Danio rerio: one gene and its partner. Each later gene encodes a partner of the first gene's protein in a complex. Links are inferred from orthologs where the notes say so. Each region holds a gene or a part of one and is shown in the gene's direction. Other genes may lie near its edges. The genes, in order: cacnb3a and stac3.

Region 1 (4,579 bases):
AATCATTCTTGAGAAGTTTCAAAAGAGTTCACTTGCAATGAATTCAGTTGATTGGACATGATTTGAAAGGGCATACACCTATCTCTATAAGGGGCCCAGGGTTGACAGTGCATGCCAAAGCACAAACCAAGCATGAAGACAAAGGAATTTTCTGTAGACCTCAGAGAGAGGATTGTCTTGAGGCACAAGGCTGGGGAAGATTACAGAAAGATTTTTGCTGCCCTGAAAGTTCAAATGAGCACAGTGGCTTCCATCATCCATAAGTGGAGGATGTTTGGAACCACCAGGATGCTTCCTAGAGCTGGCCGGCCATCTAAGCTGAGTGATCGGGAAGAAGGGCCTTAGTCAGGGAGGTGATCAATACCTCGATGTTTACTCTGTGTGAGCTCCAGTGTTCTTCTGTGGAGAGAGGGGAAATTAACAGAAGGACAACCATCTGTATAGCAATCGACCAATCAGACCTGTATGGTAGAGTGGCCAGATGGAAGCCACTCTTTAGTAAACGGCGCATAGCAGCCCACCTGAAATTTGCCAAAAGGCATCTGAAACGAAATTCTCTGGTCTGATGAGACTAAAATTGAGCTCTTTGGAGTGAATGCCAAACGTTACGTTTGGAGAAAACCAGACACCGCTCATCACCAGGCTAATAGCATACCTACAGTAAAGCATGGTGGTGGCAGCATCATGCTGTGAGGATGCTTTTCAGTAGCAGGAACTGGAAGACTAGTCAGGATAGAGAGAAAGATGAATGCAGCAATGTACAGAGACATCCTAAATGAAAACCTGCTTCAGAGTGCTATTGACCTCAGACTGGAGCAACAGCTCATCTTCCAACAGGACAATGACCCAAAGTACACCACCAAAAAATCAATAGAGTGGCTTCACAAAACTCTGTGAATGTCCTTGAGTGGCCCAGCCAGAGTCCGGAACTAAATCTTATTGAACAGCTCTGGAAAGATCTGAGAATGGCTGCAAACCATCGCTTACCATAAAGCTTGAGAGGTTCTGGAAAGAGGAAAGGGCAAAAATTCCCAAAATAGGGTGTGCCAAGCCTGTGGCATCATATTCAGAAGACTTGAGGCTGTAATTGCTGCCAAAGGTGCATCAACAAAGTATTGTGCAAAGGCTGTGAATACTTATGTACATGTGATTTTTCAGCTTTTTCATTTTTTAAAAATTTTCAACAATTAATTTTTTTTTCACATTATCATTATTGGGTATTGTGTGGAATATTTTGAGGAAATAAATGAGTTTAATCTGTTTTGCTATAAGGCTGTAAAAAAATGTGGAAAAGGTGAAGCACTATGAATACTTTCTGGATGCACTGCATAATATATATATATATATATATATATATATATATATATATATATATATATATATATATATATATATATATATATATATATATTCCTTTAAATAGGCTAAAGATTTCTGGTGACTTATGAGTTGTAGTTTGCAACATTGTATGGAAGACTAATATACATGATGTACAGTACAAGAGAGGCAAATATAGAATGCTCTGGAGAGAGAGAGAGAGAGAGAGAGAGAGAGAGAGAGAGAGAGAGAGAGAGAGAGAGAGAGAGAGAGAGATCATTACAAAACGCGCATGCACAAGAAACAGACACATTGCATTTGTCCACCTGTATTACTATCTTGATTTACGAAACCCAGCGCGAGGGAATTAATCAACGGCTCCGTGCGAATGCAGTCAAACAGAAGGCGGTTTTCCTGTTCAACCGTGATACTCTCTTCTTCCTCGGCGGTCATGTGTGTTTCGCATCGCTGTTTCTTCCAGTAAGCACCAATGCATGCATGCACCCGCCTCCCCTGCGCTCTCAAATAGATGGTGCAAGTAAAGATGTCCAAATCTTCCGCAGACCCTCTGTCTGGGGTAGAAAGCGCTTCTCAGTCGCACTATTTCCAGGTAAGACTTTTGGGGGGGATTTGTATACGTTGTCGCAAATGGTTAATTTGCTGCTACTTGTTGTTGAGCAGTCGTGCATTTAAGCGCTTCATATATCCGCAGAGGGCTACAGCTACACAATCTGCCCGTGTATAACGCCTTTATCGCGCTTTTAATCAGACGCGCGCAGTTTTAATGAGGCGAGATGTTGATCAAATGTGTTGATGCTTCTCCATCCGCCAAACTCACATTTCTTGTTTTTTTCCCCTCCGCCCTGAGATTTCACACCGCAACCGAGGCCTCATCTTTCGGGCCAGGCATCAGTAGACACAGTGTTCATTAAACAGTTCAAACACAGTCAATTTCTACTGAGTTTTGATAAACGGGGTTACAATCTCGTTCAATACTCTTATGGTGGACCATTGTCGGTCAAGGTTCTCACCTGTAGCCAACATCCGTCCATTGGTCACCTGTTTCTGCTTGAAATTATAGATTAATCTAGTTGCTGTGTTTTTAACCTGTTAGCTGGTAGGTCTGCGTTAGCTATTATTTGGTTAAAATAGTATTATTTAGTTCATGAATCTTATACGGATAGACCACTTTGGACTGGCATCAACACTGTATCAACTGGTCATACTAGTTCAGGAGGTTTTTTGGGAATTTATATGGTCAGTTAGCATCAAAAGTTAATCATGTTCCTCGGCAGAGCTACCATCTTAACCTGATTTTACAATACGGTCTCAAGGCAGTTTGTTAATTTTGACTTATTTTTCTATTTTGGGGAACTGGTGGCTACATTTTAACCAAATTGCTGTTAGTCAAGATGGTTAGCTTTAGAATAGACAAATTTTCTGTAAACTGAATAGTTCTGAATGGTTCTAAAGAAAAGAAAAAAAAACATCGTATGACGAAGACAAAGTACAGTCAGAATCTAGACTAATTTTGCTGTAACTTACACAAAATAGTTTTTAATCATCCTAATGAAAAACATCAGCTGACTAAAACAAAGTACAGTCAGAATCACTCATTAAAAGTCACTAATTTAATTTCTGTATGGTAGACCCTTACTGGTCAAAACAAAAGTCTCACTTGTGGCCAACACCAGTCCATCGGGCATCTGCTACTGCTTGAAATGATAGATTAAGCTTGTTTCAGTGTTTTTGAACATGCGAGCTGGTTTCTGCACACCTAATTTGGCTATTATTTAGTTAAAAATACTTAATATCTGGTCCAAGCTTGTGTGTAGACCACTTGACTAGCACCAACACTACCAGCTGGTCATTCTGGGGTTCAGGTGGGTTTTTGAGAAACGGTATATGGTCAGCTAGCATGTAAACAAAGGTTAATCACAATTCTCAACAGAGCTACCATCTTAACCTGGTTTTACAATACGGTCTCAAGGCAGTTTGTTCATTTTGACTGATTTGTCCATTTTGGCGAACTGGTGGCTAAAGTTTTAACCAACTAGCAGTTAGTCAAGAGGGTTAGCCTTAGATTAGACCAATTTTGCTCTAACTGACACAAATAGTTCTGAATGGTCCTAAAGAAAAAAAAAATTACATGATGAAGACAAAGTATAGCCATCTAGGGATTAGTATTGTTAAATAAAGTTTAAAAATCACTCATTCAAATCCCTTATGGTAGAGTCCATTGGTCACCTGTTCTTGCTTGAAATGCTATAGATTAAGCATGTTGCATTGTTTCCGAATATGCTAGCTGGATTCTACACACCTAAATTGGCTATTATTTGGTTCAAAAGAGTAAATATCTCCTCCAAGCTTGTCTGTAGACCACTTTGGACTGGCATCAACAGTGAACCAGCTGGTCATATGGGGTTCAGGTCGGTTTTTAGGAAATGGTATAGGGTCAGCTGCATGTAAACAAACGTTGATCACGTTGCTCAACAGAGCTAAGCTGATTTTACAATACGATCTCAAGGCTGTTTGTCCATTTTGACTTATTTGTCTATTTTGGTGAACTGATGGCTACATTTTAACCAACTAGCAGTTAGTCAAGAGGGTTAGCCTTAAATTAGACCAAATTTCCTGTAACTGACACAAAATAGTCCTAAAGAAAAAAACATTAGATAACAAAGACAAAGTAGAGTTAGAATCTAGGGATTGGCATTGATGAACAAAGTTAAAAAGTCCCCCATTTAATTCCCTTATGGTTAACCCTTATTTATATATATATATATATAACCTGTCTCATTTGTAGCCAACATCGGTCACCTAGCTGTTGTTGCTTGAAATACTATAGATTAAGCTAATTCCAGTGTTTTTGAACATGCTACCTCATTTCTATACACCCAAATTGGCTATTATTTGGTTAAAAAGAGTAAATATCTGGTCCAAGCTTGTCTGTAGACCACTTTGGACTGGCATCAACACTGTACCAGCTGGTCATACTGGGGTTCAGGAGGATTTTTGAGAAATGGTACTGTACATGATCAGCTGTTTAGTTTGTAATTAATTGCCAACATACTGTAAATCGCAAAATCACAACTAACATCCTTACCTGATTTTAGAATACAGTTTGTTCATGTTTGACTTACTGTATTTGTGCAGTTTTTGCTGAATTGGTTTGTATTAATATTTACAATCTCATTGGTATGTTTCATTTAATCTTCTTAACACCTCATTTAAAGTTATGTTTAGGATTTTCATGCTTTAT
Region 2 (4,377 bases), on another chromosome or scaffold:
TTGATACTGTGTAATATATATATATATATATATATATATATATATATATATATATATATATATATATATATATATATATATATATATATATATATATATATAATCACATAATCATCATCATTATACATAAAAACCCAGAAAGATTTGTACACCTGAAATATATTACTGACCTATTTCTGGTATATTGTTGTTTTGATTACTCATATTGCTCTCATTTTCAGTTGCTTTGAATAAACGTGTTTGCCAAATGCTTATTGAATGTATGAATTGTATGTGGCTGTTGTGGAATAAAGCTGTAACAGCTGCCACAAGCCCCTGAACATTGGCGTAAATAAGCTTTTAATAAGCTAAATCCTATTTTCTGGCACTTGAGCCAGAGAGTCACAGTAATAGATGAGATGTGCTACTGTATGAATATGTCATTTTTGTTTTTTGAGATATGATGAAAGCTGGAAAATGAAGCTCATGTTCTCAATCTTTTGTTTAGTATATCCATTATTGTAAATTTAGCAATCAGTGTAGCAATTAGTGTCCTGGGTCTGCCCCGAGGCCTATAGGTAGGCGTTCAGGAGGCTTCTGAAACAGATGCCCGAGCCACCTCAGCTGACTTCTCTGGATGTGGAGGAGCAGCGGCTCTACTCTGAGCTCCTCCCAGGTGACAGAGCTCCTCACCCTATCCATAAGGTTCATTCCGCTGTGGCGACCTCTAAGCTGAAGGAAAATGAATGAATAAATTAATATATTTCCTGTGATTGGTCTGTACATGTTTGGAGGACCCCAAGGAACCTAACACATTTTTTTTCCCCAGGGCCAGCCCGAACACCAGCCGGTGACCCACTCACACCTGCGGCTTCTCCAGGATGGACGTCCAGCGTTCTCCAGCCTCAATTGGTCAACTGGTGAAGTTCCTCCTCTGTCGCCACTGTCCTGCTTGGTTTGGGACTTGTGGAGATGCACATGGATGGATTTGCTCTTCAGTGTTTGGACTCTCAGCAGTGAAGATTCAACCACACTGAACTGAACTGAGCTCTGAACACTGGACTGACACGGCTTCAGTTCACTAGAACTTCTGTGTTCAGCTGCTGCCACACAATCTACACTGTAGAAGAGCTGGAGTTTTATTCACTTGGCTAGAAAGTGCTTCTTCATTAATGAATTAATTAAATATATTTATTACTGTGTGACATTAGAGAAGTCATAATGTTTAGTAAAAAGGTGCTGTTCAGCTGCAGGCCTGCTGTGAGTGTGTGAAGGTCTGCATGTGTGCCTGTCTGTCAGAGGGACAGATATACAGAGAGACTCGTATTACTCTCCGTCATCTAACACCTGCTGAAAACACTCACAGTGACACACACACACACACACACACACACACACACACACACAAAGTGTTCAATCCTCAGTTCAGAGCAGTCTGGTTATTACTGAGTTAAGATTATCTTCTGTGCTGAAGCAAATATTAACTTATCTGTATCAGGGTCACACCTCACTGACTGAAAACTGGGATTATAGCACAGAAACACATCATCTACAGGTGTGTATGCTTGAACTTGCTTGTTCTGATGGCATGATTTAGTGGTTGTGTGCATTTAAATCTTTTCTATGTATAGTCTAGAAAACGTTTCTGATTTGTTCCTGTAGCTCAGTTTAGTGAGAGATCCTGAATTTGTTGGCCTCAAAAAAAGTTTCCAACTCAGATATAGAAGTTGTGTGTGTGGATTTGAGGATTTCATCATGCTCTCATGTGTACAAATTAACTGTGAAACCTTTTTGTGTTCATTTATTCCATAATAAACAGGTGTATGTAGGGTGTGACATGATCATTGCACTGCATTCGCCACCCTGAAATTACTTTATTTTCAATAAGAGAACCAGAAATCTGTCTCAACACGGAGTGGACATCCTCAGATTCCCAATTTCGCACTGCAAGGTCAACATTAGAAACACCCAGTGGTGGAAAGAGTACAGTAAAATCATGCTTAAGTACAAGCACATACTTGCCTAAAACTGTAGTGCAGTAGAGTAAAAGTGTCTGCTGTAAATATTACTCAGTATAGCTTTCAAACGTACTCAAGAGTAGGGAGTATTACACTGTGAAAAGCTGATGCGTTTACATGTAACTTGCACATGTGTGTGTGTAAACGTAAGATTCTGTAGTGCATCTAGTGATTGCCCAGCAGGTACACAATGTCATAAGACGTTAATATTAGGTTAGATTTAAGTTGTGATGTCGGGAAACCAAAATTCAGTTTCTAACCAGTGCAAATCAAATGACGTTGATATTTGGTTGATTTTAGGTTTTTAGAAAGTGACCAAAATCTAATGTCGCGCCAACACCTTAAACCAACATCACATTGACGTCACATACTGATATTATTTCATCAGGTATGGCAACCGAAATCCAACATCTGATAGACGTCATAGTGGTAACGTCCACACAACGTCAAGCTGTAACATCATTAGACGTTGATTTTAGGTTGATTTCAGGTTTAACGTTAGACATTGACGTTGGCCTGACATTGAGTTCTGACGTCAAACTGATTTTCACTTCCAAACAAAATGCACTGTCTCCAAGATGTTAGTGTACAAGGTCAATCTGACGTCATGTTGACGTCTTGTGCCTGCTGGCTGTTTAAGGCCATTTGGCTCATCATATAGTAAACATTTGCCATCTTCTCATCAGTGATGTGCATCTAAACAGTCTCTGGGTCAGTGAGTGTGAAGATTGTGGACATCTTCTTTTATGCACTTTAAATGCTTCTAAACAGTTTGCTGCAATTATAAATCATCTTGAGGTAGTTCATTATGAGGTGACTTACCTTCAGTGTGTGATTTGATCAGACAGGAACCACAGGACTGATCTCTCTAATCTCCATAGACAAGAAAAAATACAGTAGTGACTGCAGGATGAAGGAAATTAGTGGAGTAAAAGTACAGATACTGCAGTAAACGTACTCAAGGGAAAGTAAAAGCCCACATTTATAAAACTGCTCTCTAAATTACAATTCCTGAGAAAACTACTTTGTTACAGTAAATTGAGTATTTGTAATTAGTTACTTTACACCACTGGAAACACCTAATCACAGCGGCTAATATGTCAGTGATCATAGCACTTTACAAACATGTGTTTACAAGTCAGAATCTAATAATTATGATGATTTGTCAAGAGAGATATGAATACTCAGACCACTTCAGGAGGTGTTCTGATGTGCATGAGAGATGTGCTCTCGTTTAAAACCACATATTATGCGCACATGACGATCCACATTTCTTACAGGATGCTCCACTGACCTGTGGGGTTCCCCAGGGCTCTATTTTGGCCCCGTTGTTATTTTCCATTTGCATGCTCCCTCTCTGATCTATTTTGAGAAAATGTGGGCATCGTTGCAGGAATTACACACCGGTTTACTTCCCAGCACACAATTTAGTTTTTAATAGACGTTTAATAGACATCTAAGCATAAACAGCTTGGCTAAAACAAGACTAAACTTGGGCTGTCAGTGAAAATCTAATAGACATCTAAGAATAGCCCAAAACTAGACTATAGTCGTCAAGTGGACAGATTAGACAGACTCTATATGTGTAGTCCTTCATTTCTGTTTATTTGATGGCTAGTCTAGTTTTAACCTATGGACGTCTATTAGATGTTCAGCCCAAGTTTATCCTTGTTTGAGCTGAGATGACATTGTTTGGACGTCTATCAGACATCTATTAGACATCTTTTAAAAACAAAAAATGCTTGCTGGGTTGCTAGTGGTTAATGTAAACGCTTTTCAGAATCAGACAGATATCTGATCAGAGTAAACGCATGAAGAGAGCAGGTGTACACAAGCTGGAGTTTTCTTGAAGCTGGTGAGTGTCTCCTGCAGGTGCGGATTTCTGCTGACTGACTGCGTCTGAAGAGGCTGGACTGATGGCTCAATATGACCAGTGAGTGTTTGACAGATTAAACAGTCTTTCAGGAGCATTATATAAGATTACAGCTATCCTAATGCTCAATGTGTTCCAGACTGGAGGATAAAGACTCGCTGGACATCCACGATAACCCTCCAGCGCCAGAGAATGTGGTGAAAGAGGACGACAACACTGTACGTATGATCACCTTCTCTTATTAGCTCTCATTCAACACACATTTGTAAATACAGGAGTGAATTATTTGTGTAGCACAAAGCTTCCTGAAAACCCTATTCACAAACACTTGTCAGAACTGAGATATATTTAAATATGAACTGTTGTTTAACTTATTAAACTAAATTAATTAATAAATAAAGGGTGTGTGCTCCCTCATTCATAATCTGCATAAACCCACCTATGCCGGAAATCAAAATGCTCTGCCATCACTTTTGATTTGATTAAATATTAGTCATTTTTAAGCCT

The links.
Region 2: cacnb3a (region 1) and stac3 share a complex: the UniProt entries of both Homo sapiens proteins name them as parts of the calcium channel complex. The link is inferred for Danio rerio from reciprocal best matches to the Homo sapiens genes CACNB3 and STAC3.

The regions. Positions count from the first base shown.
Region 1 is NC_133198.1:15,636,121-15,640,699, forward strand, and holds the start of cacnb3a (voltage-dependent L-type calcium channel subunit beta-3a), read left to right. Parts: upstream 1-1,598; 5' UTR 1,599-1,846; coding exon 1,847-1,927; intron 1,928-4,579. UniProt on the Homo sapiens protein: Regulatory subunit of the voltage-gated calcium channel that gives rise to L-type calcium currents. Increases CACNA1B peak calcium current and shifts the voltage dependencies of channel activation and inactivation.
Region 2 is NC_133184.1:263,274-267,650, forward strand, and holds the start of stac3 (SH3 and cysteine-rich domain-containing protein 3), read left to right. Parts: upstream 1-1,386; 5' UTR 1,387-1,534; intron 1,535-3,777; exon of another isoform or gene 3,778-3,869; 5' UTR 3,870-3,913; coding exon 3,914-3,930; intron 3,931-4,009; coding exon 4,010-4,088; intron 4,089-4,377. UniProt on the Homo sapiens protein: Required for normal excitation-contraction coupling in skeletal muscle and for normal muscle contraction in response to membrane depolarization. Required for normal Ca(2+) release from the sarcplasmic reticulum, which ultimately leads to muscle contraction.